Alligator mississippiensis: one gene and its partner. The protein of the gene in region 1 interacts with the protein of each later gene in a biochemical or structural test. Links are inferred from orthologs where the notes say so. Each region holds a gene or a part of one and is shown on either strand. Other genes may lie near its edges. The genes, in order: MAGI2 and ADRB1.

Region 1 (15,535 bases):
TGCACATTAATTCTAGCCGCTGTAGGAAATTCGATGGCATAATGCGCCTTAAATGACTTGGGGCACAGCAAATTAAAACTCCTTTGAGGAGTTTTAGTTTGCTGCCCTACAGCCGTGGAGCAAAGCAGCAGGCTCCATGCAGCTGCACGGCTCTGCAGGAAGGCCTGCAGGCAGCCTGGCAGCAGCCCGGGAAAGCAGCTTCACCCAAGAAAAGTGGCGAGTCTGATCTTTTCTTTCCCACCCCCCCTGGAGCCTGTCTGCCTGCCTGAGCTGCGTGGCGGCCTGGTGTTTCCCTCTGCAGCTATGATGCCCCCTGGGACATCCCAAGCTGGATGCCTGCAGGGAGGTGCCACCTGGCAGGGGAGCACTGCTGCCACCGTGGGAAGCACCAACCCTTCCCATCCCCGCCACAGCGCAGGGACCACTCTGCCTGTTGGCAGCTCACTCTCCCCTCCACACTGGACAGGCAGGTAAGTCAGCAGGGTGCATGTAGGACATGGGGGTTTGATCAGCCCTAAGTTGAAGCGGTGTTTTTTAAAACCCACTGCTTCAATTTAGGGCCCCTGTTTCATCTCCACATGCCCTTTAACACATACTCAACTTTATGCAGGTGATTAAGTCCGAACTACAACTAGATTTTAAGCTGTATTTTAACTATCAATATGTTAGTTAAGGAGCAAAATGGAAGACAAAAAAAATTCATGCCTGTATTAAGCACCGAATGTACTCATTTAATAAAAGCCCAGGTTTAACCAATTAATCGTTTAACTGATAAGCCCAGTGATAACTGGTTATAGCCTATTGTTATCGTTTAGCATGGGGAAGGGTGCAAAGCCACATAGTGCCCCAGCAGGAACTGGAAGGTGGCAGCGCAGGCGGGAGGAAGGGAGGAGCGAGGAGAAGGGTAGAAGAGACTAGACCAACAGCTAGGCTCTGTGGAGGAGCCTGTCATGAGCAACCTGGGCTCTGGGCAGGCCCCTGCCACCCACCATGGAGCCCAGCAGGCAGCAAGGAGGCTGCAAATGGCTGCTCCGGGGTCTATGGAGCCTAGCTACTGGAGGGGGGTTGCTGTATCAATTAATCATTTTACTGTTGTAATTACAACAGGTTAAACAGATATTTTTTTAAATCAGTATTTATGCCCATTGTGTGTGTGTGTGTATTTATTTATATATATAGAAATACATATTTTTGCAAAATAAGTCCCTGTGGTAGGTTCCCTCAGCATGTTTGCCCAATATGGGCCATGTACTTTACAGTCATGCTCAGTGTTGGCTGCATGTAATCAACTTCATAGTTGGTTTCCATTACTGAGCACATGCTGCTTTTAGACGCAGTTCACGGATAACCGATACATTTAATGCAGTTTCCTTGTATGCAAATGTAAGACAAGGGTCGGGGGAGGGGAGGCTCATCTTGTATTCGAATAAATATGTTATTTTAAATTGCATCTATGTGCCTAGGAATAATTCATTAGCAAGGCCACACTTCATATACATAAACAGTCAAGTTCAAGAAGCAGCGTTTCTTATTTTCTTGTAAAATACTAGGATTATTCCACACATGACAGTCACTCTAGAATCAACATCAAAGAGTCACCTGTCGGACTAGCATGGCAAAGGCAGTTTCAGTAGCCAATGGCACACAAGGAAACGATGTGCCCAGCATGACATCCAGCTACCTTTGACTTCCCAGCCCAAATAGCCCGGTACCCACTTACAAGTGGATAAACTGTGGGTGGCCTTTAGCATGAGTACACAGCCAAAAGCCACATCCAGTTGACCCAGCTGTTAGAAGTTTGTAATTCAGAACAATTACAATATACTGAATTAATAGTTCTGTTACAATTCAAAATCCTTCCTCTGAAAGAAAATTATCTAAAAAATCTATGGGACATTAATCCTATCATAGCCTGTTCTTTTCCTACTGATATGAATGGGAGTTTCGCCATTCACTTAAGTGAAGCCAGGATTTTACTGAATATATTTTTAATGGAATTGCTGTGGTTCTTCTATCAAAGTCATAATGGGGGGAGGGGCTTCCACAAAAAGCAGCCTCCAAGAAATGCTTACAGTACAGATTGTTAATAGGATTAATCATGATGGTAGCTATTACACTAAAGTATTCCTTATGTTATTTCTACTATATCAAGCCCAGACAGTAATGAGGTACATTACAATCCTTACGAATTGAGTACCACCCCTCTTTATTCAATATAACATCCCATGACTGCTCACTGGTTTCCCATGACTGGTCTGCTGATGATATGTAGCGACTGTGAATGAATGTGACCATGTCTTTTGTGTTAACACTTGATTCCCAGCTTGTATAGTAGTAAAATATCTTTGGTCTTTTTGGACCAAAAGTATTTAATCTCATAATGCGATAAAAGCTTGGCTTTTTAAATATTTCAGAACTGGGTGTATCACAGTAAGCACAACACAGAATCATAGAAAAGCAAGACTGGAAGGGACTGTAGGAGATCATCTAGTCCAGCCCCTTCCACCTACTCCCCACTCATGGAAGGATACTGTCTGCTCAAAGCAGGATAGCAAGAAGAGGTCATTCACTGTAAATCAGTACAGTATTGCTGCCTTTCTGTAATTTCAAGAAAAAAAGGTAAGCTACTTCTTGTCAAACTGAATTAGCCACATATTGATGTAATCCAACAGTGAATTTTGATTGCTGAATTATGAAAACTTTCAAACAACAGAAATGCTCCAAGACACGTAAGTATTATATTAAAAATAGGAAGCTCTACCCTCATATCCCTCACTCTGATTTCACTCTAAGACAGCACTTACTCTGAAAGAGAAGCCAGAGTCACATGGTCCATTCAAGGTCATGCGATTTTAATTAAATGTGTGCAGTGAAAAATTTAGAGAGTTACCATTGATAAATTATGCAGAAATTATGATAATGGTCTCATTAACCTTGTTCCAGCACACTAAAAGTGTTTTATAATTAAAAGAGAACAAAATTATAAAAATATATAAGGAATGTTATTGTCCATCTTTTTTTCTCAGTATACTGTTGAAAAATACTGTTGGAAAAAGTAATCTTTTAATTGAAAGCAATCTTAATATATAATGCTCATGCTCTTTAACCAAGAAGTACTGATATTAAACCAAATTGCATTGCATGGTATAATATAGACAACAAGGACCGTTTTAGTAAAGAGGCCAAAACTTGTAAGTCACTCCGTTTGGCAGAACTGTCTGATAAAGAGGATGGTATAGAACAGGGAATGACCTTGGAGAAAGATTTCCAACTGGAAAGTCACTCTTAGACCAGGGATCTGGGTAGGCAGTTGAAACTTCAAAGCATATGAAGTTATCCATCTTGTGTGTATAGGAGTCACTCCTAAATGTAGCACATGGATAGACTGCAGCGAAACTCTCAATGAGCACAATCGATCTAGAACCCAGAACTCAGCTTCTGTATCCCAAGAAACTGGAGCCCCGACTAATGTCCCCAGCTCATGTATTGAGAGAGACAGTTATAAATGGCACACAAACTAGTAGCTTGCTTATGGCCATTTCAACCCCCCCTCCCCCCCCACAAAGTTTTAAGAACAGAAAACTGTTTCATATTCTCTTATGAAACATTAACTGAAAGCAAATGAACACTGAAATGAATACAGAGAATTGTTCCTATTCTGTAAAGAAGGAGACAACAGTATTTTCAGTCAGGGGGAAAAAAAAACCAAAAACATGTTTACTTACACCATTATCTTTTTGACCCTTAGCATCATTGAGAAATACTCCCCCCTTCCTGAAATCACTACAAACCAGTCAAGATAAACCCAAGTCACATTAAGCAGCTGAAACAGTGTGGCAGGTTTGCCAGCATTCAGGTGCCCAGAGCTGACCATATGCACTTTAACAAGGGAGAAGTGATTCAGCTCTTTTCCCATTCTGATCTTCACTGACTGCATAAAATATTACATCACCGTACTTCTGTCCATCAAGACGTGACCTATTGCTTTGCTGTACTCTTCAGCTAACCCATGTGCTAATGTAACGTACCAATTAACAAATCCCAGAGCAGGTCAACTGTTTGGAGATACGAGTTCATAGAGGTAACTGAAGATACTAGTAGGTCCTGACTCACATGAGGAGTCTTTCCATTGCCTTTAGGAGCCACTTTAGTGAGCCCAGGGATCTGCATAGCTTTTCATAACTCAAAGATTTCATGGAAACCATTGTAAAAAAATAAGCTAGTGATTAGAAGGATAAGGCTGGGTATATTGGAGAAATCTCTAGGCATCCACTGGAGCTCTCAGTAATGCCTCCAAAGGCATATCTGTTAGAATACAAATGTCCTTTGACATAGTACGAGGCATCTTTCCACTACAGTATTAATACAGATTTGAAATGCCCCATGTTAAAAATATACAGAGGCTAGGACCAGACATTACATTTGTCCCAGGACCTGTGTTTGTCCCAGGACATAAATTTTCTGAGCCTGGTATGCCCACACATTGCCTTTCCAAGCAGGATTTAGCCAGCCACTGGAAGCATCGCCGCTGTTCTGCCATCAGTTAAAGGAAGCAGTCTCTGGACAACCATTCAGACACTTCACAATGTGGCAGGACAAACTTCTTCTCCTCCGAACCTTTCTTAGGCTTTGACCTCAGATGACAGGCACAAACTCCCGAACGGTCACACTTTGTCCGGGGAGAAGATAGCTTCTCTGGGGACGACCGCGAGGTCTGTTTGGAGCCAGCATCAAATCTTTGCTCCTCAAGCCAGCCCACAAGAGCTTCTCCAGCTGCAGGAGCCTTCCCTGTGACACCTCTCACATGAAGATGTGTGTGTGTGTGGGGGGGGGGGGGTCCATTACATCCACACCCGCACACCCCAGGACCACCACCCCCCTCCCAATACGCACATCTTTTCCCAACTCTTGGAGTTGGTCTAAATAAAAGACATCACATTTACCCCTTGTCTGCTGGCATCTGAACACTATAGTGTTGTGGCTGGGAAATGCTGCCATGCCTTGCTTCAACACGCAGGGCTTTCTCTAAACTTGCTGGGTGGTGTGTGTGTGCCTGTGAGTGAGTGTGGGTGTGTGTGTGTGTGTGTGTGCGCCCGCGTGAGTGAGAGTCTGTGTGAGAGTGCGCGGAGCGGGGCGGCAGCCCAGGGGGGCTCCTGCATCCTCTCCCCCATCCCTCCCTCAGCCGGGCGAGCCGAAGTTTGTCCCCGCGTCGGCCCCGCGTACCTTGCTTGACACACTTGAGGCGCAGCGGGTCCTTGCAGTGCTTGATGACGGCCAGCACGTCCCGCAGCGTGAGCCCGGCCACGGGGGTCTCGTTGACCTCCAGCAGCAGCTCCTCGGGCACCAGGCGGCTGCCGCCGCCCTCGTAGGCCACCTGGCCCGGCCGCACGTCGCCCAGGTAGGGGAACTGCCCGTTCTCGGCGCCGCCGCGCAGCTCGAAGCCCAGCTGCCCCTCGGGGCTCCTGCCCAGCACGATCTCGTGCACGCGGCTGGTCCAGTGGCTTTTCTTCTTCAAGCCCTTGGACATGGCAGTGCGGGGCGCGGGGCAGGGGCGACCCTGCGGGCTGCAGCCTCCCTCCCGGCCGGCCGGGGCTCGGCTCAGCGGCTGCCCATGGCCGCGGGGCGCAGCCGGAGCAGGAGGAGGGATGCCCGGGCGCTGCGCTGCAGCCTGACCCGGTAGTGAAGACGGAGAGGGAGGCTGGCTGGCTGGCGAGGCGCGGGGAAGGCGGGGAGCGCCGGGCGGGGAGGGGAGGCGCACATCGCCGCTGCCCCGCGGCTCCGGGCCGCCCCCCGCGGGGAGCCGCGCCGCCCTGCCCGGCCCGCCCGCCCGCCCCGGGGACCCGGCCCTGCCCCGCGCCGCGCCGCGCCGCGCCGCGCCCGACCCCCTGCGCCGCGCACCGAAGCCTGCGGGGTGGGAGCCGCTGCCGAGTCCGTCGTGTCCCTGGCAGGCGTGAAGCTGAGCTCTTTTATTAAAATACTTGCAAACGTTTTTTCCTAGCAAGCTTTCGGGTTTAAAAAGCCTTCGTGGGGCTGATGGGCACTGGCTACACGTGCGCCCCCTGAGCTTGGCGGGACACCCCCAAGCCACCCCCTCCCCAGGCGTCAACACTGCCGCCCGCGTCTGTGGGCAGTCCCTGATTGCCACTGGTCCCTGCTGCTGGTGCCACAAGCCACCCCCAGCCCTTCGCCACTGACACCGCCAGTGGTATCTGTGGGCAGTGCCCAATCGCCGCTGGCTGCCACCAACACTGCTGGTGCCACAAGCCACCCCCAGCCCCTTGCCCCAGACACCACCGGTGTCATCTGTGGGCAGTCCCTGATCACCGCTAATGGTGTCTGTGGCTGGTGGCCAACTGCTGGTCAGCGCTCGTCCTCCCCCAACCCCACCGCCAACACCACCACGGCTGCCTGTGGGAGCTCCCTGCTTGCCCCGCTTGCCCCGCCACCGACAGCACTGTGGATGCCTGCAGGAGCTTGCCGACGATGACATGCCCCTGCCACCGATGCCTGCAGGCGGTCACTGTGCCCCCCCAGCCTGCAGAGGCACGCGTTGTTTGTGAGGCGGAGGAAGCATCTGCAGTTGGTGTGTGCGCTCTTCCTTCATGGAATTAATGCCTGTGAGAAGGTTGAGGCTCTTACTCCTCTCCCGCCACCCCATGGGCAGGAAAGACAGAGGCCAGGGCAGGCTCTCAGCAGCCAAAGTCAAGGGCAAAAAGGGGACGGGGCAGTGGAGAAGCTGCCTCCTGCAGCAGTCCTGTCTCCTGTGGCTTGCTGGTCTATATAGTCCCATGTCCTTATTCTCAGCAGCCTGCCCCTGGGGGAATGGGGGTAGTGGGAGCCTGGCCCGAGGGGTTGGGGTGTCATTGTGGAGGCCTGGGGTCAGTTCCCTGCTTTGCTGCAGGATTCCTGGGGCAAGTCCCCATGGGGATTCTTGAAGGCTCAGATCAAATGTAGTCTACGCTTGCCTGGCAAGGGAAACACCATGAGAGGCAGTCTTCCTAGCGGCACCGGGGAAGACCGCTCTCCTGGCACAGGGATAGTACCGGCCAAGGTAATGTATAGTAAACCTCTCACTTAGCTACTGGAGTGGGAAGGTCTTGGTTTTAAGCCCACTTTATGGAAATGGGAGACTCCTCCCTGGCTTGCCCCTGGGGCCTTACAGCTGAGGGCAAACAAAACTTGGGAGCATCCGAACCCCAAGCCTCTGCGCTTGGGCCTGCAAGTAGGATGCCTGCTGAATGTTTGGAAACATCTGAAGCCCCAGATGGGGGTGGAGGATATTTGCCGGTAGTTTGTCTGGATTGGATTTGGAATTTATTTTGGCTAAATTGGCTTAGTATATGGAAAATTAAAAAAAAAAAAAAAAAAAGTCCCTGTGGGGATTCCTTACTTACACACTTAGAGTCACAGAAAAGGAGGTTTGGAAAGGACCTCAGGAGGTCATAATACAGAACATGAAAGGCCTCAGTCCTGGTGTGTTTCTCACGGGCAGACTCCTGTATCCATGGGATTCTGCATGAATGCAGGGATGCTGCTATCCAAGGTGTAATTACTGCGGGTGCTGGCATACCTGAGCTAACTTTAGCTGGGTAGGATATGAATAGCAATATAGCCGTAGCATTTAGTTAGGATTATACCATGGCATTTTGTCAGACTGGGCTTTGTAGCCTACCCTGAATCCCATGCTGTCATAGCTACGGCATTTTTAGTGCTAGAGCCAGCTGGTTTCAAGCTATCTTAGATATGTGGACATGGACTTCAGTCACTTTTAGGTTACAGTAGAGAGACCATTAGTGCTTGGTAAAATGGGGATAATATCCATCTAGAAAGTTGCACACTGAGGATAGATGTATTAAAGACTGGGCTGCTCAAATAGTTCTGTAACGGAAGCCATACAGATCTAATGGATGGGATGCTCTGAGGGATCCATGAATGGACTGGTAGATGCAGTTACGAAACAGGAAAGTTTAGGTCTAGGCAAGTAAGAAAAAACGTGACAACTATGAATTCATCTATTACTGTTAATTAACATTGGATCCCTATTAATGGATGCAAAGAGAAATATTGTGAATATGTATAGAGCCCTGGGTTGATGACCTGCTCAGTGGTTGGTTAGTGTGACCACAGAGGATCTGATGCTTGCCTCTCACCTGAGTAAAGGTGGCTCATGAGTGATTAGGAGAATGAGGGGATGGGCTGCAAATTTGAGAAGAACAAGGAGAACTAAACAAGGAGAATTGAGAAGAACAAGGAGAAAAATAGGGAAATGAACAGCTGATGAATCCAGATTCACTAGCACCTATCTGTTTTTCGGCACCCACCAGCAACTCTCTGGATGGCCCAAGTTGCCCATCACTGTCTGATCCTGATCTCCCTAACTATTAAAAAACTGTTTGTTTTGGCACCAAACCCTAGCTAATTAAGTTTGGTTATTCCAATATCTCCTTCTCCACAGCTAACAGAATTTCCTCATATGTAAATGTAGAAGCCCATTCCTCCCGTTTATAATCTCTTATAGTAAAATTCCAGCTTCTGAAGAGCTGGGTTTTCTCTGAGAGGGAGCCTTACCAAAGATTAGCAGGAAAACATTTAGGGAGGATTATCTGCCGGCCGAGCCTATCAAAGGAACGGGGAGGGGATCTCGGAATGCATCTACAGGGACATGATTATGTGCAGAATATATGAATGAAAATTAGGGGGAGAACAGGTGTGTAGAATAATTCATGTACTGCTTAGAACTGATAATATACATGTATATTTTTAATATGAATGAAAAATAAACATTTTTCATTGAAATTGTTCACAAAACATTGTTGCCTTTTTTGTCCCACTCCATTGTAGCAACAGGTTGGAGTATGTGAAGTAAAAGGAAGCCCAGAATGACAAGCAAAGACAAAGCTCTGACTCTAAGTTGTTTCCTGCAGACGAAGCCATCCTGATTTTAATGGGACTCCATGTGGGTGCAGAGGTTTGCTTCCAAGGAGCATTATGCAGGATTGGGAGCAAAGTAAGGCCAAGTACAAAGATAAAATGGAAGCATAGAAAACTGGAATAGAAACCCACAGAGAAGATAATGACATTGGATTTGGAGTCTGCCTGATTAAAAGAGCACTAAAAGCTGAGAGATTTTCACAAATAGGGCAGAAAATACAGCAATAGCCTGCTTTCCAATAGACTTCAGTGGGAGTTTCAGGTATTCATATCCTGTGAAATTCAGGCCATAAAACAGGCTAGCACTGAGAAAAGGCAGTAAAAGGGACAGGAGATAAATAGGTTTTCTTTTTCCTGCCCCATCCCTGTATTTTGTTTCCTACCTTGGCATGAAAGTTGTAAGGAAGGGAAAGGAGGTGGAGGGGCTGAGAACAAGTAAGACTATGTCATTCTTTATGTCACCCTCTTTTACACACACCTTGTTGAGTCATCTGCCCTACAAAAATCTTCTGATAGTCTTCAGCTTCTGATAATTAAGAATTAACTTATAAATAACATAATTGTCACTGGAAGACATACAACTGAAAGATTCCAGGGCTACAGTTCATTAAAAGAATTGTTCCTGGAAAAATAGCCTCTTATTGACCATTAGAAACACTTCTACGAGATGAGAAAGGGAGCCTCATTTTATTTTCCAAGTCCGTAAGGCCCTCAATTGCTTTAATTTAGCCCTGTTTATCAGTATTATTCAAGGTTTCCAGTACTAGTTAAAATTAGGCTGACATTAATCATAGGAAACTATTATGCTAAATATCCCGTGGTACAAAATCCTACTTAAGAGAGTCTGTAGTTTAAAGTGTTTCTATTTTAAAACATATCAGCAGCAAAATGAATCTGCATGAGAAGTTCATTTGTAACAGGTACAGTGCCGTAGATGACTATAGTCTAACTTCTGACAGATGGATAGTTGCTAAGCAAGTAGTGTCCAGAGTGGGGTTGGACGTAGGTTACAATACCTTTCCCGTTGTGGGGGAGCAATGTATTGTTCAGCCCACATTGTATTACTCAGTTCTTTATCCCTGCAGAGTAAGCATTGGTTATAGGAAAGGGGGTCCAGTAATCTCCACAGTAGTGTCTTGACACAAAGGCTCTTTACCAATCTGTATAGCAGGAAGAAACAGGCTGTACATAGATTTGAAAGAATGGATAATGTCAAGTGGAATTCACATCATACCACCAGCTGAACATGTTAAGATCATGGTGGAAGTGCATGTGTTATAATCCAAACAGGAGAGTATTATTCTTCTATAGCAGGGGGATCTCTCTGGAGAATTGGTCTCTACGAGTAGGTTCGTGATGGGTTACCCCTGGTATCATAGCCTTACTCTGCACAACTACATAAGAAGGAGTTGCTCTGCCAGGGAGCAGGAAAGTAAGGATAAATCCAGAGATGCGCAGCCAGTTTTGTCTCTCTATCGCAGGGGTTGGCAACGTAAGGCCCACCGACTGATTATGGCCCATGGAGCTGCTGGATCCAGCCTGAGAAACTAGACGGCTTTGCTTGTGGCCACACCTGTGCCTACCCCAGGGCTGGCCAGCTTCCAGCTATGCCCATGCCACTGCCACTTCTCCCTGCCCTCCCAGCTCTGGTCTGAAGCGGGCCAGGGGGTTTCAGCAGCAGCATGTTAGTGGGAGGGGGCTTTGCCTGTGCCCGCACTGGGGCCAGGCAGGTGGGAGCTGCTTCTGCACTGCTGCCACTTCCCTCAGCTGCAGTTTAGGGACAGCTTCCAGCCAGTATGGAGCTATGTCACAGCTGGGCAGCTGCAAACTTCATCTGCATTGCTGCCACTTCCCCCTTCCTGCCACAGCTGTGTCATGGGTGCATCTTCAAGCTGGTGGGGAACTGCGCTGGGGCTGGGCATCTTTCAGCTGTGCCTGCACTACTACAAAGTGGAGGAATAGGGGGAGTGCGGAGAAGCAGTGGACACCGTTTGCAGATGCCTGGTCCCAGTGAAACTCCCCACTGACTAGAACCTGCTCCTGTGCCTGCAGCCAAGGAGCAGGGAGCTGGGAGAAGCATCTTGGAGTCCTAGTGGTCTCCAAGATGAACATGAGTCGTCAGTGTGACGAAACCATCAGAAAAGCCAATGGCACTTTATCATGCATCAGCAGATGCATGACGAATAGGTCCAAGGAGGTGATACTTCCCTTCTATTGGGCGCTAGTCAGACCGCAGTTGGAGTACTACGTGCAATTCTGGGCACCGCACTTCAAGAGGGATTCGGATAACCTGGAGAGGGTCCAGAGAAGGGCCACTTGTATGGTTAAGGGCCTGCAGACCAAGCCCCATGAGGAGAGACTAGAGAACCTGGACCTTTTCAGCCTCCGCAAGAGAAGGTTGAGAGGCGACCTTGTGGCTGCCTATAAGTTCATCACGGGGGCACAGAAGGGAATTGGTGAGGTTTTATTCACCAAGGCGCCCCCGGGGGTTACAAGAAACAATGGCCACAAGCTAGCAGAGAGCAGATTTAGATTGGACATTAGGAAGAACTTCTTCACAGTTAGCGTGGCCAAGGTCTGGAACGGGCTCCCAAGGGAGGTGGTGCTCTCCCCTACCCTAGGGGTCTTCAAGAGGAGGTTAGATAAGTATCTAGCTGGGGTCATCTAGACCCAGCACTCTTTCCTGCTTATGCAGGGGGTCAGACTCGATGATCTATTGAGGTCCCTTCCAACCCTAACATCTATGAATCTATGAATGCTGACACAGCTCCCAGCTGCCTGGCTCTGATATGAGTGCTGGGAAAGACCTCTGATAATGATGCGAGTTAAAGCCACCCAGCCTGCATTGGACCAGAGCTGGGTTGTTCCAGCTTATGACATGTAAAAGGTTACCAGGCTCTGCTCCAAACCCCACAAGATTGAGGAGAAGTCAGCAGAGAGAAACTCAAAGAGATTTTCCTATTAAACCATTCCATTGGGTTTTCCCAGAGGATGGTATGACCACGTCCTGTAGTACAGCAAGACTGCTTTTCATATAGGCTTTCATACAAATGCAAGAAACAAATACAAACACAGAAGGAAGCATATTTAGCAAGCAAAACACAGTTGCAATTTATCATCAGCAAGAGTCTGAGCCTGCAATTACAAAAATGTATATGTATAATAAGCCCATAAGTAAGGGATCATAGGACTGGAGCTTTAGTAATTAAAAATGGGCTTGACACCTGGCAAATTATTTCATTCCTCCTGTCCCATCATGGATTTCATAAAAGGGAACCAAAGGTCAACCTTTTGGGGGGATCTAAATCTTTTGATAGATATTTTTTTCCATCCCCACGTGCTGCCAAACGTTGCTATATTATTAGGCTTCTGGATTAATCTAATTGGCAAAATGCTTCTGTATTGGAAGATGTATTCTCCCTGCAAAAGGAAGGAATACTATCAAGCAACACTTAGGTACGTAGCAGTGAAATCCCATTATGTTGTAAAGAAGGATAGATGTGTGATAAGACATTGGACTTGTAGTCAGATTCAGTTTGGTCTCTTCTGCACCTAAATGAGAACAAGTAGCGCCAGGGGTAAGGCTTAGTGATCATGCCTCTGTAGCCCACTGATAAGTGCAACTGCCTGGGAGTGGGGGGCCCTGTGTTCTGGCATCTCCTGCCTGCATTACACTTTCAAAAGACATTAATTGGCAAGAAGGAGTAACCCTGACAACAGGGGCTGGAACCCAGGGCTTCTTTTCCCAGATAGTGCTATAACCATGAAGCTCTTGTTCACTCTTCTTCTGGCCCCTTTATACTTGCACTCCAGGCTGCCCAGGAGAATGGAGGCAGCCCTCACCTACACCCTTCTTCAGCACGGTGGTTGTGGCACTGTCCTGCTCAATGGAGCTTAGGTGCATTGAGAAACGAGGTCTCCCAATTCCTGCACGAGGGCTCCAATCATAAGGGCCTTGGACAAAGTGGGCATCACCACCACCAGGATGAGCCTATCCTCAATAGTGGGACTAGGTATTGTGAAGTGCAAGTGAAATGAGGTGCCCAGTTTGCAGCATGAGTCAGAAGCCTAAACTCCTGAGAGGGGCTGGAGTTCAGTTACACCTTTGTCCTGAATTTTTCCTCAAGATGCCTCCTGAATTCCCTTATGGAGACACCTACCCCTGTCTGCTCTCTGTGTAGGGAACCTATGCACCTAGGCCTGAATTGCTTTATAGCGGTGCTTCCCCTGGCTGCATATGCCTCACAGTTAAATTGAGCTGCCCACCTGGGCAAGACATCCAAGTACAAAAGAACTTGGATCATTTTCATCTTGGTGGTTCACAAGCCACTTAATTTTCAGTGACATGCAGAATTAAAAACAAGCCATTCAGTTGTTTGCTGCAGTTTTTCCTTCAAAGGGTGCCATTTCTCTGATCAGAGCAGCTCATGACTCCTGTGCAGCAAACTGTCCTGACTTGGTATACCCCCAGATACTTCAGAAACGCTCATCTCCATAACAAGGTTAAGGAACCTACTATATAAGCATCTACTGAACCTATTTAAATCTGGCCCTAGGACTCAGGAGATCTGGTGTGGGTTCCCTTCTCTTCCACAGACTTCCTGTAGACAAGTGTTTTAGGTTCTTTCAGCCTCATTCACCTTATGTAGGAAGGGCAAAATAACATGCCTTCCCCCTTTGTAAATTCTTCAGGGTAATAATAGACAGGATGTGGTCCCATTCTTAGATAAGGTCTATGAATTGAGCCATGCCATTATTAACAATTATTAATAATACTATTCTTTCCACTTATTTCTGGAGTCAGAATTTAAGAAGTCCTGCTACAGAAGGGTGAAAAGCTAAAAGTATTGATCCCAAACCCTCTTTTCCTCAATCCCCTACATCCCAGAAGTTTTGACAGAATGGTATTCACATTAAAACTGTCTCTAATTTTATTTTATTGCAAAGCCAGAAACTGAGTTAAGAGGGAGTTTTTGTGGAGAGGGGAGGGTTTTAAAACTTTAACCAAAACCACTCATTGCTTTGCCCATCCATGGTTTAAATGACTTTTGATTTAATTGTAGGTTTCTAAACCATATAGAAATGTACAGTTGGTTTGAGCTGAAAGTAAAGGAAATGCTCAGCATTCTTAGGCCTTTACATTATTACTGGTAATTGTTCCTCCAAAGGGTTAAGCTGGTCTCTTCTGGATGGGAATAAAACAGTTTAAAAAAAAAAACAACTCATCAAAAAGTACATTTAAACGTTAGGAAGTAAAGGGCAGATTAAAGACAGAAGTTGGTCTAAATAATATGGTTTAAAGTACAATGAACATAAAAGCTATTCCAGAACATATTTTGTTCCCTCCTCATATATTGGTTTTGTTTTAAATGTGATCCTCCCCCCAACATTATCCTTCATTCCCTGACTATTAAACAGTGGGATTATGCACTTCCTGTGCTCTTCTAGCAAGCTGTTCAGAGCTGATTAAGGTGATATAAGGGAAACTTGTTGGAGGTTAAAAACTTCCCCAGTGAGAAAGTCCTAGGAGAGAAGCTGTCAAAACATATTTTGCAAGAATAGTTAAAATAAACAAATACACGGGTTTCTTCCACAAAAAAAATAGAGGTTTAGAATTGCATCCCCATAGATATTCTCAAAGGACTACAGATACAAAAAAAAAAAAAAAAAAGACTATCCTGTTAGAAAACCATCCTTTGTACTAAGTCTGACATTCTAAAGGTAACAAACCCCCCAAACCTCTGTACTGAGACTAGATAAAAAAGTGCCAGGCTTACAGTTTACAGTATGAATTACAGCTGCTGGAATTGTGATAGCACACCACGCACCGGAGGCTGGGTCCTCTGAAGAATACCAAATGAAACAGCAATATAAGTGCCTGTATCCAGACTGGCTATCCTCTCTCATGCCCGTGGAGCCTGGATTTTTCGATTCTGACCTAAATTACCCTGCACTGCCTGGTAAATCTCTGCTGGAAGCACTACAATGTTATTGCATTGGGGAATATTACAGGGTTATATGGTACATACATTCAGCTGAAGTTTTTTCAGTCTATATTTTCCAAGATAACATTTACTATTAAAGGAGGTATTTGCTGATAAAAAACCATAAATAAATAACTGTGGAAACAATTATCTGTCACATAACAACATCAGAAATTTCTTTAACTTCTAATTTACTTTTTACCTTTCAAGTTGTTTACATTTCGAACTGGTTTTGCTTTGGTTACGGTCAGTTTTATTTTCCAGCTTTCAACCAGTAGCACAGAGCTGAGGTTTTGTTTCATACCACTGCACAGAGCTATGGACATTTTCTTTAAATATATATATTTGAGAAAATCCAAAGAAAACAATTTATATTGCCGAGGCATTGTTCATTATTGTGCAGTTATAGTTACGACCATTCAAAACTTTATTTTCCAAGCTTCTGCGACTTTTCACAGAATCACCTTACAGTATCAAAATGTTTGCACTTAAAGTAGTGGCAAAGAGTTGCATTCCTTAAGTTTAAGAAGATAAAATAAATACTTTGACAAGAAAAGAGAGCTTAAGCTCACCACTTTGAATATTTCCACCAAAATGGCATAGATTTTTGGCCCCCTTAA
Region 2 (15,243 bases), on another chromosome or scaffold:
AACCCGGCCAGCTCCCCCCTCTCCCTGCTGGCACAGCCCAGCCCAGCCCAGCTCCACAGACCCCTGCCAGCCCATGCCCTGTGCTCCTGCTGCCCTGTTCTGGGTCCTGCAGGTGCTGGCCCCAGGATACCACGCAGGCCCTGCGGGCCCACTTGCTTCCACTCCCTCCTGCTCCCGCGGTGGCTTTCCCAAATTTCCCACCTGCCTGTCACCCACTCTGGCACCATGTGGCTCCCAGTTGCATGGCCAGACCGTGGGGCTCAGCAGGAGCTGGCCTGGCACCAAGGACTGGGGCGATCCCTACGGTCCTAAAATGGCTCCCTGCCTGACTCCTTACCTAAAATTCCTGCTTTGGTGCAGGGAGGTGCGAACAGTCCCACAGTCCCAGACCAGAAGCCTCTGCTAGGCAGGGGCTTCTGGCTGGGGGGGCGGGACCAGGTGGGCCTTGCTGTTGCAGGAACCTGCTAGGGCTTCCCCTGGGTCCTATTGCCCCTGTCTCCTGTCATCTTTGACAGGAGCCAGGGGCAAATAGATATTAATTTTCTAAATTTTTTAGGGGTCCCACGGGCTGGATAGAATGGCCTGGCAGGCTGTATCTGGCCCGTGGGATGTATTTTGCCCACCCCTGGTTTAACCTGAACTGTGACTTTTTAGGAGTGGAACTGAAATAATGTGGAGTGTGTATCTGTCCATGGGAATTTACTTCATTCCAGTTGCTGATGTGACTGCAGAAACTATTTTTAGGTATAATCCTTCAAACAGAACATGTCTCCTCCTTTCTGATTAGTACAAAGCTGGCTGCTAGTCAAAGGATAATTATCTCCCAATACATCACCTAACACAGACCAACAAACAAAACATTCATTATTTTAGTTATACAACATTAACTGTTGTTTAGCAGTTAGCATTTTCCTTGACAGCTTTTAATGGGACTAATTGCTCCAGCTTCATTAGCAAAGGTCACTACTGGTGACAATGGATTTTTCTGAAGCCATTGTTTAGTAACTCTCATAAAAAGATTAGATTATAAGGGCCAAATTCTGGTTTCAGTAGCATTGCAAGAGTGCAACTAAAGACAGAATTTGGCTTGAAGTATGTCTGTACTGTTAGTTCATGGTTGCACAGTTTCCATTCCCGCAACTTGATGTATTACAGAGAGGAAGTACACCGGACCAGATAGGAAATTACAATAAATTAGGAAAGTGTGTATGACAAGGAAGGTTTGCAAAATAGACACTTAAAAAGTTATTAATAAAATTTCAATTTCAGATAAGGCCTGAAAAAAGACCCAAGATAAGGAAGTTGTTCTTATATTTGAAAACACTTACATGCCAGCCAAGAAACCGTTTGCAGAAGAAATAGTGCACTCTATCAAAAAACAAACTACCAGTTTTCTCAAATTCTTTGCGTACTGCATCAAGATCGGTTTGTCAGCATTTTAGGCTGAGTTTCCTATGCAAAATTTAATAGCAATCAATGCCAACAAATGTTTTTTGTTACCAGATCTACATGCAATTCATGAATCACAATTTGGGCATTTTAAAGGAATTTATTTGCCTAAAAATGAAGATATAGAGTGGTATTTTCAAGAATGTACCTAACTCCCATGGATGCCTGGGCACTCTGAAAATATCAGTAGGCACATCTCTGCATCTTTAGGCACCCAAATACCTTTACCAAATACACCTCTCTCTTAAGTTTTCTCCAGGTGGACACAAATTACAGGACGTGATTACCTTAGGCTTTCTACCTGGATAAAGCAGGTACATTTAGATCCATATGTTCAAACTACCTTATCTAATTTTATACTGTGAGACTTATATTTAGGCTCTATGGAGAAGTGATCCAACAAGTGTTGAAATTCCATTTAAGTTAATAGAGATTATAGTGGCTGAAAACCAAGCCCTTTCCTGTTAAGTGCTTAAAGGTTAAACACCGCAGCTGGACACATTGGCCCTAACAGATACGGCATGTATCCCGATAGCAGAGTTTCTGTTCTGCTTGTATTTCCTTTCCCTTCAGATCTTCGTTCTTCTCCGTTACTTTACCTTTCTGTGACAGTGTGTGTGCATGCGTGTATAGCTGCATGTCTACTATTTGTACTGCAGCTCCAATTGTTAATCCCTGTCTGGTTTTCCTCAAAAATATATTCATCAAGGAAGTTTTGACTCAATGCCTGCAGAGAATTTCAGCTGTCCTGTAACTCTTCTTAGAGTATACTTCTTCACTACTAAGAACAGTCTGTACTAAGAAAGAGATCCATAAGGCACTGCTAGCCAATAGTCTCTCCTTCTTTCCACACATGTATGCCATATGTCTTTTTTATCTGTAAGGTTATCATGCTACTGCTTTTTTTTATATTGCACTAAGTTAAACTGGTACTGGCCATTCACACTGCTGGATGGACTATCTTTATTGATTACTGAAGATTTAAATATGTAAACAGCCATCAATATCAAGACCATCCTATTTTTAAAAACCCAGTAAATATATCTATATATAGTCTTTCCATTGGGCCATTTCTGGCTGGCTAAAATGCAACAATAACTGATTAATTTATTCTTGCAGCTGATCCCCCTATAATCAATCAGCAAAGTAGTTTTTTTGGAACTCTACTGCCTTTAATCACACAACAGATGAACATGGTCCCATGCTGTTACTAACAAGAGTCATCTGAACAAGTTTTGGTCCTAAATGTGTCACTGAAGACTCCACTTTAACAAAACATTTCACATGCTTAAATTGGGTGTGTGAGTAGACCCACTGATTTCAATGGGACCATTCACATGCTTAATGTTTGCCTGTGACTTTCTACAAGGAAAGAGGAGCAAATAGTCACTCTACTCTTATCCATCATATGCACACTAAACACACTGCACATAAAATCAACATGGCTATCAGACAGCTGGACTGGACAAATTTTGCCCTTGGTTGTTACACTCTTGCAATTCAGCTGACTTTGCTGGAATTGCAGGGTGTAACTAAAGGCAGAATTAGATCCTGGCTTTTAAAAGTGCATGTCGTTAGAAGACTGATGGAACATGTTTCATTTGGCAACTGCCCTGGCTTCACCTTGGCATTTAGGAAGCCTATTTCACTTCTATTGGAGCAGAAATAATTAACTGTAGTTCAAACCCTAACCCCAGTGCAACCAATGGCAAAACAACCAGTGACTTCAAAGGACCTTTCAATTTGGTTATGTGTAAAAAATGTCTCTATGTTTTTATCCCTAAAATGTAATGTTAAAAACAGAATTAAAAAATCTTCAGCTTTTAAAAATGGAGTAAACTGTTTATTTAAGAGAGAGCTTGGCCTATTTCTTGCAGAACTGACTTTCAGAACTCTTCTCACTGGGACATGATTTCTAACTCAACTATATTGTTGAGTATAATAAAGCTAAAAATGGCTTCACTTTTATTCTGTGCATGACATCAAGGAGGTGTTTTACGATACCCAGCCGTCTGGCTTTTTGGTGCTTTATATGCCATGACAAGTTGCAGTCATGAAAAATTCTCTGAATCTATCATAATAAAACATACCTTCATGACAATAATGGGAGACAGTATTGTCACGGAGTTCTACATTCAGGATTTGCATTAAGGATTAGAGTCTGCCACCCATGCCCTCTCGGCACTTCATCATGGTTTGTTTGGAGTCCACGGGGGTACCTGTGTCAGCAGGGCACTGCACAGTGTGTGAGGGTAACAGGATCCAGCCCTAAAGGAATCTATAGCTAGGGAAAATATTGCTGCCGAGTGCCATATTGCTTTTCTCGCTATATAATTAGTTCTTTAATCTATAGATATGTGACTGGGGTTTTGTGCGGAACTGATACGCAGTGTGAAAAACACTTTACAGGGCCTGATCTTGCACCCATTAAAGTCAATGACAACTGCCTTTGGCTTTAATTGATATCAAGAAATGAAGGGATCAAATATGTAGTGCTATTTTCTGAAGACACTTTTTTCAGTAATGTAGAATGAAAGCCTGGCATATTTTTTCAAGGGATCACAAACTTCTTATTACATCTCCCGATACAGGGCATAATCTCCCTTTTACTGAAATCAGCGTAGATTCCCAATGATTTCGGTGGGAAAGAGCTGGCTTCGCTGAATATGGACTTCAAGCTCTGTCTGCATCCAGTGAAGTTATTTTAAGAGTATCATTGATTTCACCATGAGAGAGCCACTGCATAATCTATTAGCAACAGTTTTCAGTTTTCAAATCCAATACAAAACCATTTTATTCTATTTTTCAATAATAAATCCCCTGACTCCTGGTCTACTAATACAACAAAAAGATCAGGAGAGCCAACAGGCTAAAGAAAATGACTATGTTTATTATCAGGCTGGAAACACCTTGTCTTTGGCCATTAATTTTTGAGGGAAGTCGGCAGCCCTTAACGCAACAGAAAACACAACCTTATTTGGTCTAGAACACTTTTTTTTAAACAATATTTTGTCAGGGAAAGCCATTAGGTGGGAGAGTATTGGTAATTTGATCCATATTTTGAGAAAAACAAAACTCTGTTCTTTCCATTATAGCTGGGTACTGTTTCAGAACCTATAGAGACACGCTGTACATATATGCTTGTTTGTGCTGCAATGTTATTTATTGCACATAGACCAATTACTTACACAGTAGTAAATTGCACCAGAGTATAAATACCTTATAAAACACACACAGGAGGAAAATGGAAATGACACGCAAGTGCTAAAATAACAGCAGATTCACGTGGGCACTTGGACATAAAATATTAAAATAATAATAAAAGACCCTTAAGATATTTTAATTTATAATACGGATGCATTTACAGTACCTTGATAAAATAATATAAAAAGTCACTCTCTCAATAGAAATGTAACATATTAGACAAGAGCAGAAAGAATTTTTTTCAGGTTTGATGATATTTGAACCCCCGTTTTATTTTTAATTTTTTTTTGTGCAAGGAACATCTTCAATTAATTTTACGATTCTTAACACTGTGCAAAAATGGCTCTGTTGCCATTTTTTTTATGTGCAGTAAATTTTTTTTGTTGCCAGGATTTATTTATTTTTTTACTGTTCATCTTCAATTACAATGAACAAATTGCAGAAGGCTCACTGCCTCTTTTTAGAAAATAATAATATCAATACATAAATAAGCTGTTTAATATAAACATGTCTTTTTATTCCCCTGTACAATATGCACAGTTTGAGGTAGAAAGTTTCCCAGCCTGATTGGTATTGTCTGGCAAGAGAAGATAAGCATAAGAAGTCAACCGGTTGCTGATGCAGAAGATAAAAATCAGAAAAGCTCTGTTCAAAATACAAGTATATCAATATTCTTCATTAGTTAATTTTTTTCCCTTCATCTTTACTTTAAAAAACAGGGGAACGCAGCTACCTGAAGTTTAAAATAAAACTTGCCAGATGACAGACACACTTTTATAAAGGACTGTTAAGCCTGATTTGCAAAAAGTGCTGATCACCTGCAGTTCCCACTAACTTCAACAGGGCTGTGTGCAGGCAGCACTTGTTAAAATCAGACTGCTTTTTTACCTGTGTGTGAAACAAGAACTGCAGCCACCAAGAGTAGGGGCAGGGAGAGTTTATAGTCCTCAGCTTGAAAGCAAGGTTAAATACAGCGTGATCCTGGCTACAGTGAAGTCAGTGGCTAAACTCCCAATACTTCAGGATCGGGCTCTACTGCAAGTGCAGCTCTTAGAGCAGCTTAACTGAGTAAAGGATATTTTCTTATTCCCTTTCAAAATGCCTGTTGCCACCTAACTCCCTGTTAGAAAATTTAAAAAAAATGAGCTTGAGACAGCTTTCAATTTCCTTTGTTCAGTGGTCAGCGGCTTCCTCTAACATCAGATGAGGTATGTTGCATACAAGTTCACCTGCTTTTAGTCTTAAGTAAACACAGATTTTCTCCCCAGTGAGACAGAGATTGGTTTTGTTTGGTGTTTGTTTGCTTAACCAGACTCCTGATATTTTTTTCCTCTCACTTATTCCCTGGCTGGCTTTCTTCGTGCTCAGTGTCCAGGGTGTCCCCCAGTGCCACCTCCCACCGTCCTTATACCTTGGATTCCGAATAGGAGGTTTTGCTATTCCTCTCCTCCAGGCTGGAGTCGCTGCCTCCCTGCGTACCCCCATTGCAGTCGGACCACATCCCTCCTAGGCTGCGCTCGGGGGTGCCCAAAGTATTGATGAAACTCCCTGGGAACCGGGAGAGCTCCTCACCGCTGGCGTGCAGCCTCCTGTCGGCTTTCCTGGGGCAGCAAAGCAGCCTCTTGAAAGCCTTGCGGAAGTCAGGGCTGCGACAGTAGATGATGGGGTTGAAAGCAGAGTTGGCATATCCCAGCCAGTTGAAGAAGACAAAGAGCTGGTCTGGCACCAGGTCCCTGTTGAAGACGTTGACCACGTTGACCAGGAAGAAAGGAAGCCAGCACAGAGTGAAGATTCCCATGATGATACCCAAGGTCTTGAGGGCTTTCTGCTCCCTCATGGCCATGATCCGGGAGCTCTTCCTCTTGCTGGCCCTGCCGTTGCCCAGAATGGGCTGGTGGTGAGCGTGGCCCTGGGCAGGAGGCTGGTGGTGGTGGTTGTTGTGGAACCTACCCTCGCATCGGTCGATCTTCTTGATCTGCTCCTTGGCCTCTCTGTACACCCTGATGTAGACAAAGATCATGATGAGCAGAGGGATGTAGAAGGAGATGATGGAGGAGGCGATGGCGTAGGCCCTGTTGGTGACGAAGTCGCAGCAGCCGGGGTCCTGGTAGCAATCCAGAGCCTGGGGATCCTCATCCCGCCACCAGTGCATCATGATGGGCAGGAAGGAGACCAGAGCGGAGATGCCCCAGACGGTGCAGATGATGCCCTTGGCCCGACCCTTGGTCATGAGGCTCTGGTAGCGGAAGGGCCAGGTGATGGCCAGGTAGCGGTCGATGGCGATGACGCACAGGGTCTCGATGCTGGCCGTCACGCACAGCACGTCCAGCGAGGTCCAGCACTCGCACAGGAAGGAGCCCCAGACCCAGCGGCCCTGCACCACCTGCGTGGCCCCGAAGGGCACCACCAGCAAGCCCATCACCAGGTCGGCGCAGGCCAGCGAGGTGATGAACAGGTTGGTCAGCGTCTGCAGCCGCTGCGTGCGCCGGATGGCCGCGATCACCAGCACGTTGCCCGCCACGATCAGCAGCACCACCAGCACCATCAGCAGGCCCATGCCCGCCGTCCACTGCTGCGACAGCAGCTCGTGCCGGCCGCCGGGCGAGGACGGCGGCGGGGAGACGCTGCCGGGGGGCGCGGGCGGCGGCGAGCCGGACCTGTTGTGCGGCTGGCAGTCCGGGGGCAGCCAGCCATCGCCCATGCTGTCCGCTCAGGGCAGCCGCGCCGGGGGCATGAAGACCAGCCGGGGCGCCCGCCCTGCAGCAGCCGCAGCCGGAGCCGGAGCCGGAGCCGGAGCGGAGCGGCCGCCGCGGCCGGGCTGCAGCATGGTTGTGCGCTCCCGCGGCTCCCGCGCCGCGACACCCCCGCGCCGCGCGTCACTGCTCGGCGGCCAATGGGCGCGCGGCGCGGACACACCCCCGCGGCGCCCGCACGTGGGCGGCCCCCTGCCACCGCACCCGTCGTGGGGGGGGGGGATTGCGCGGGGCGCGGGGCGCGGGCGGTGTCTTGTCTGAGACCCGCCAGATTTGTGCAAATAAAATAAAATAAACTAAAATAAAAAAGTTCTTAATTGCAATGCTTCCGGCCACAAACGCCCTTCTTGGGGGTGAGGGAGCGGAGGGCCGGCGTCCTGGGGGCTCCCCGCTCGCTTGCCGAGGGCCCAGGGCAGCTGCTGGCATCACTGCCCCGAAACGCTGCGCCGGGTTCGCGCTCTTCTCCTCTGTAGGTCTTAGGCTGTGCGGACGTGAGCAGGTAAAGCCCGTTTTAGCGTTTAATTTCCGAGCCCGGAAAGCCCATTCTGGTGTTTAATGCCTGCTGGAAGAGCGCACACTTCCTCAGCCGGACAAAGGGTTTTTAAACCCGAAAGCTTGCTAAGAAATTGTTGTTCCAACTACTGAGTTGGTCTAATGGAAGGTAACTGGTTTTACCCGAAGAGCCTTGTCTGCCTGCTGGGTACCTTGAGGATGGAGACGCCTGTGACGTGGCCAGCCTTATTGGGCCAGAAAGTAACATTCTGTGCTAAAAACAGAGCGCCTTTCGTCTTCCTCGAAGAGTTGCATTTGTTTCCTTGCCGAGACGCAAGGAGGAGAAGGGAGGGAGAAGTTCTCCCGCCGGAGACAGATGTATCAAGGGGGCTTCAGGCCTGCCCCAGCCCTGCTGCTCGGCAGGGAGAAGTGACCAAGAGGCAGCAGGCGCCGCCGCTCTCACCGCAGCCCGCGGGGATGGGGCAGGGGATCTCGCTGCATGTGCTGGATTTAAAACCTTAGCACTGGAAGCCAGCAACAGTTGCCATGGCCTGTAGGCAATATTGACAACTGTGCAAGTGTACGCTGCCCGGTGGGGGATGGATCCGTGCTTCCCAAGCCCTGCGTATCTCCCCATCACAAGTCCTGTTTGTTCTGGCTTCCCCGGGGGTTCCAGATTCAGCCACTGTGTCATTCCTAAGGCTGGGAGTCAGAGGACTTGGCTTCTGTTGCTGGCTTTGCTTGGGACAAATCTTTCTGTGCCTGTTATCCCAGCCGTAATGTGCAGCTCAGAACTTTTACCCGCCCCGGCCAAACCCCATCGATAGCTACAGACGTTTGAGGTGCAACGTTATCATTTGTTAATAACCATAAAAAGTTTCCGTGTGCAGTAAATGTGTTGCTCCGGTGACAGCATAGCTGCATAAGAGACTGTACAAGGATTGCAGCCCTTTGCACAGCTACATCCACTGAAACGGCTTAAAACACATGGGCTTGACTCTTATTTACATGTGCAGCCCTTCACGCTGCTCTGTTATCAGGTGTGGCCTTAGATGGATGTAAGGCTTATTTACTCTTACTTTAAATTGCCTTTGTACTGGCAAAGAGAAATGAAAATGAGTTCTCTCCCCTTTACTTTTTAGTATCACAGGATTACATCCATGCCTGGGGCTTACATCAATACCCCATCTCATACTAGCTGGGAGCAATAAGAGGGAATCCTTTTTTCCCACATATATTTATTCTGCAAAGGCTGTGTCATTGTTCCGGTTTGACCTTACCATTCCCTGCCAGGTTCAGACTCGGTATACAAGGTTGCAACCCCGGAGTGAATTATGTGTTTATTTACATACTGTTTGTTTAACCCTGATTACAGGCTCCATCAGTTTGGACCTGCTGCTTAAACTATTCCCTAGTGAACTTTGCTTCATTACTTGATCTTTTCCAGTCTGAGCCAGTGGGATAGAACGATCGAGGCAAACAGAAGATGCGAGACACCCACTGTATGACCATCCCACAGCACACAAATGTCTGAAGTCATGCAGGAGCTTTCTCATCAGCGCCCACACTCTCGATGCCACACTCAGTAAGACACAACTACAGATGTGGAACGAGAGGCTGAAGAAAATAGCTGACAATGAAAAAATGTACACTCCAGCAGCTAAGTCCTTACCATCGGGGGCTGATGAACAGTGGCAAAGGTGGCGATGTCTCAACTGCCTACGTACCAGAGTCGCATGTTCCCAGGAACTAATGAAGAAGTGAGGCTATAACATTGGTTCGACCACCTGTAACTGTCACAGAGCTTCAGACTAGGCAATGCCTGCTGTAATGCCCACTGCTTGAAGGCACATGTGCAATGAAAGAGCTTGCAAAGTACAATAAACAAGCACAAGCATGTGTAAAAAAATGGTTAAATGTGATGTAGAGACATGAGAAGAAGAAGTCTGAGCCTAGAGAGCTCAGCCCTCCAATGCATGAAGTGACTCTCTTGGACAGGGAGAGGTGGATGCTCCTCACCTTGAAGAACTATGTGAACACTGCTAGGTGTGGATTGTGGCTGAACCAACTAAGGAAAGGGTCTGACGATATTTGTCAGGAGGTTGTCAGTCAATCCTCAGCTGTGATCCCCGCAGGAACAGGAATCCATCCTTTCTGTCAGTCCTGAGTCTCTACCAGAAGGAACCAACACAGAGCTAGATAAGAGTGGACTTCTACAGTGAACTACTATAAATGTGACTTGCAAAAGATTTTGTTATTAGACAATTTATCCTACAGCTAAGCCTTGGTTGCCCGCACAAGCCAGGACAGAGAGGTATTCAACATATCAGGTATATCATTTTAGGGGCTTCCTGAAGTCCTGCTGGCTGGATCTTCTCAAAAAATGGAGACATCTGAAGATCGTGGATAGTTTAGAAAATCCAACCTTTAGTGACTTGCCCAAGATCACACAGGCAGTTGTGAGGGGTACAAATCATGCCTTTGGACACTTTTCCTGCATTTCCATCCATCTGTCATCCCCAGGGTATTTTTACTGAATTAAGGTCTTTACCTAATAAAATTAACATGGGATTGTAACCCCTTGATTGTCTCTCTGTCTTTGAAGAAGCTTTGAAGTTTAAGGGCCAGAGAAGTTAAGTGAATTGCCCAAGGCTACATAATTAATCAGAAGGCCTAGAATAATTTTCCTGTCACAACAGGCGTAATTCTGCAACGTCATGTCAGAGCTGGAACCAGCCTGACTTTGGGGTTGTCTAAAAAGGAAGAACCAAAGGTTAGCTGAAGAATTTATCTGCTGAGCATCCCTGTGTGCATGCAGCTGATAACTGTAGGGTTAACTCATCTTCCAAACGACACCTCTGCAGATCACCTTTAACTCTAAGTTTCCTGATTTTTGTGCATTTGAATGTGGTTTTGCTAGCACCTCTTTGTGTGCAAATTATTTAAGGATGTCAGGTCAAGAGGAGTGAGTTCCAAAGTCTGAAATGGATTGTTTCTGCCTGTGCTCCAGGTCACATTTTTTATTGAAGCAGTAATCTATTTTTTCCTGGAAGTCATTGTTTTTTTTTAACAAGAAGCTTCAATACTAATTAGAATAGATTGGTTATCCAACACACCCACAGAGGATAACAGATGGACCCAGAAGGAATTCCAAATCGTACTGCACTGGAGAGGCTGAGTTGAAACAAACTTCAGAGCTGGAATGTGTCAGGGACTGCAAGGGCTTCTGTGTAGGGTTTTAGACCCAGATCCTTTGCGCTGCTCTATACAGAGTCCCACAGACTTCAAGGGGGCTTTGAGCAGGCACATGACTACCACACAGACAGCGGCTTGCAGCATCAGGGCTTTGTTGTGTACAGGTGTGTATCATAATGCTGACTGCTCAACAAGTAAAACAAATAGGAAGGCAGAACTGAGGGAGAAGAAGGGGCTGAAGTACGGGTGTGGTATTTGCATCGGCACAGAGAGAAGCAATGCTAAGGGAGTGCAAAAAGATGCTGAATATTAGATTCAAGTTCGCACTGCGTGAGTTTGCATGATACACACCATGGAGGTGGGCAGGAGCAGATCCTCTTTATTGGCTTGATCCTGAACCTATTAAAACCAGTAAAAGTTTTAGCTCAGTGATGGCAGGATTAGTCCTGACAATCTGTGGCTTTTAGTGGATTTACCTAAGAAAAGGCTTGGAGTGACTAGGTTGTGGGACTTTGAGTGACTTGCTGGGTGTTGTTGTCAGATTTCCCAGTGTATTAAGTAATGTGTTTCCAACCCAGCTGGCTGCAGGAGCTCTCTCTGGCTGCCCGTTGGTGCCGGGTTTCCAGCTCTCCCTCAGACCTCAGCACATTAATTGATTCGTTCTTTCCCCTGCTAAACAGCCTGTGAGGATGGTCTGGTAGGTCTAGCTTCTAAAGTTAATACCCTCAGCTAGTACCTATGTCAGTATGCACAGCTACCTAAGTGTCTTTTCAGTGGGAAGAGAGACAGATTGCCTTTTCATCTAGCCAGACCTCTGTTGTCCCTTCTCTGTTCCTGAATTTGTAGCCCTGCTTATCCAAACCAGTTCTCCAGATCATGCAGGATCCAGAACTGTCGGAGCCAATGGCTCTCCCAGAGTCCCATAACAGCCCTTAAGAATAACAGTGTCCTCCTTTCAAGGAGGGCTGAAATTCCCACCTGCCAGTCTTTCTCTAGCCATGAACAAAATTTCAGTACTTGTGGGTACAGCTGGTCAGAACATTTTGACATAATGAACTTTTGTCTAAACACATGGTTTTGTGGAAGCCGAACAAAGATTTTGCTGGGGAAGTTTTTTTTAGGGCTGTCCTGACATTTCTGAATGGCGGCAGAGAAAGAAAAAGAGAGTGAGAGACAAAGAGAAAAAAAAAGGAGAGAGAAAGAGACAGACAGACGGACCAAACTTAAAAAGATAGCTCAGGTTTTTATAGAAAAAAAAAGATTCTTCAGCAAAATTACTTTTGTGGACATATTCTAAAGGTTTAATTGTGAATCCTTTAAAGTTGTCACAGAATGAAATTATTATCTGCTGGACAGCTCTACCCCCAAGGAAATCACAAGACTTGGTAATGATGGACCTGATTCAAGTCTTCTCAGTGGCTGTGTCTACACAAGATGCTGGATGTACAGTTGCAGTATATAAACAAGTACTAAACGACTGTGTAGTAACCAGAGTTACTGTGCAGTCACACCAAGGAATGACTTTTTTGTGATGATGACTGTGCATCATGCTTCCTGCCACATGATGCTACTGCACAGTTAGTGTCTCGTGTAGACGCAGCCAGTTACACCAGGTTTCCAACAGTGTATCTCTATTGGTTTGTATAGATTTGCTCCTGGCTTCTCTGCTGCAAGTGAGCACAAAATCACGAGAAATATGTTTAGGTCTGTGCACTTCCCTATTGAAAAGATAATGATATATTAGATGAGGTTCAGAGAAGATCAATATCAACTATTAAAGGGAACTTGGGATTAATATATGAGAAGAGACAAGGAGACTATTTTAACTAAGCAATGACCTTGTAATTCCCTAATGTATAAATATGTGAAGCATAAAAAAAAAATACCAAGGAGTGGGTGGGAAAGGAATTATTTAGAATAGACGAATTATACCAAGAGACCTAATGAGAGATAATGTGATGAAAAGGAAAGTTCAGTATGATTATCAGAAACAGTTTCCTGAAGGTCAAATCTATTAGATTGCCAAGAAAGCAGTAGAATTCTCTTTGCTCAGACCAGGGGTCAGCAACCCCCGGCACGTGTGCTGAGTGCAGCACACAAGGCCATTTTGCTCGGCATGCCACCACCAGCCTGGGCTCTAGGCAGCTGCTGCCAGCCACAAAGCCCAGGATGCTCCCAGCAAGTGGCTGGGTGGCTGCAAGCCCTGCTGTGATTGGCAGCAGCTACCCAGAGCCTGGGCCGGCTGCATTTGGGAGGCTGCAAACATCTGCTCTGGGCTCCGGCATTAGCTCCACACCAGTGGCCCAGGAGCCCAGCTCCGCGTGCCCGTGCATCTGCCTCTGTCTGGTCCTGTGCATCTGTGTGTGCACACACGTGTCTGGTTCTGGATGTGTGTGTGCATGTGTCTGCTATGGGTGTGTTCTGGTTCTCTGTGTTTGTGCACATGGTTCTCTGCGTGCGTGTGTGTGTATCTGGTTCTCTGCTCTCCTTTCTCTCTCGCTCTCTCTCCTCTTTGCCTTATTTGTCTCTTTTTTCTCTCTCATTGCAACATGCTCAACAAAAAAGGAATACACAACAACAAAGGCAACATTTATGATTATTAAATATACTAATATGCGGTGCGTCCTGCCATGTACACCCCCCACCCTCATTTTGTTTTTCTGGCATGTCAGCACTCTGGTACCTTCCAAGGTAGACATCGTGGGGTTTTTTGCACTCTGGCCAAAAACATTGCCTACCCCTGGATTAGACCTTTATATTTAGGTTTGAGAAAACCCTAATAAATGCATATAAGCTCCAATGTCTGTAGGATGGACTACTTGAATATTTACCATCTCTTATATATATCATCCCATCTTGTCTCATCATCCCATCCCACCCCTTGGTAACTAGTAACTTAAATACCTTTCACTTTGTTCATTCTCCAGGAAAACTGACCACTGTGAGCTTTGTAAATGGATAAACAACTAATTTTAAAGTAGTGAGAATCACAAGAAAGTACACAGGAACAGTTTAAGCCAAGCCCACATGCTAATGTACAGTAGATTTGAGTAGAATGATTTCACTTCTCCACCTGGGGCTGTCTATGCCCCATGATGTCCTGCCTGAATAGCACAATCAAGGCTTTAGTAATTTTGTATTTTAACATATATATTTTGCACAGTGGACCCAATCATGCATTCACTGGGATCAGTAGTAAAACTCCAGCTGTTATCAGGAAGTCTAGGATGTCATTTTAGGCAGAGATTGTTTTTTCCTTTAGGGCCTGATCCTACACACAATGAATAATGGAAAGACTTCCTTCTATTTCAGTGACCTGGGCCTGTGGCCCATATTGTCTGTCTTACTACTCTGGAGGATACGATTTATGAAAGACAAACTAAACATGTCTGTTGTCACTTACTCTTCTTTTCTCTCCCTGTAAATCCCTTTGTAAACTCATCATGCATCTGATAAACTATTTCAAGTTGATTATCTAAACATTTTCACTAAAATCTGAGTAGAAGAAAAGCAAATCAGAAACAACCTGACAAGTCTTTATACAAAGCAATCAGACTTCACCCTCTCTGTTCTGTCCCAGTGAGAAACTGTCGTTTGACTGTATCTACACCAGACCTCTGTTATTAGAGGAATATAGACACAGAGGAATGCTGCCACAAGATCCATGTCTCTTGTTTTTAAAATAAACATCTCAGTTTTGACTTGACATTTATTTTCCATAAATGCCTCGGCCTCGCTTTGGCATTTCTCTAGCAGCAGGAAACTGTTATCCTGTGACAACATGCAATTCCACTGACATTATCTCTTGATTATACATGACAGTGTGCCAGATACTGTATATAGTTGTTCTGTGTCAAACAATGCAAATATAAAACAAATGTACTTAATAACACAAGGGGCTGGTTGTGGCCAGTAAGTGATACCAAAAGCAATGAGATCAACTATGTAGTACTGTATGGAATTTCAGCGGTGTCGTCACCCTGACTTTGACTATGTGCGCCCGGGCCTTGAGATGCTGAGTACCTATCAGTTCCTGTTGATATCAGTTGTTTAGCCTTCACAGGATTGGGTAAAAAATAAAGTGAAATCAACATGCAAAAAATATACACATGCACAGGCCTTGGCTGCATTATAAAAAAACTGCACCAAT

Evidence for each region.
Region 2: the proteins of MAGI2 (region 1) and ADRB1 interact in a test that uses a peptide from one of them, tested with the Homo sapiens proteins (4 studies listed by IntAct, with this or other methods). The link is inferred for Alligator mississippiensis from reciprocal best matches to the Homo sapiens genes MAGI2 and ADRB1.

Annotation. Positions count from the first base shown.
Region 1 is NC_081827.1:22,064,324-22,079,858, reverse strand, and holds the start of MAGI2 (membrane-associated guanylate kinase, WW and PDZ domain-containing protein 2), read right to left. Parts: upstream 5,747-15,535; 5' UTR 5,528-5,746; coding exon 5,224-5,527; intron 1-5,223. UniProt on the Homo sapiens protein: Seems to act as a scaffold molecule at synaptic junctions by assembling neurotransmitter receptors and cell adhesion proteins. Plays a role in nerve growth factor (NGF)-induced recruitment of RAPGEF2 to late endosomes and neurite outgrowth.
Region 2 is NC_081829.1:92,297,517-92,312,759, forward strand, and holds ADRB1 (beta-1 adrenergic receptor), read right to left. Parts: upstream 7,471-15,243; 5' UTR 7,355-7,470; coding exon 6,059-7,354; 3' UTR 4,320-6,058; downstream 1-4,319. UniProt on the Homo sapiens protein: Beta-adrenergic receptors mediate the catecholamine-induced activation of adenylate cyclase through the action of G proteins. This receptor binds epinephrine and norepinephrine with approximately equal affinity.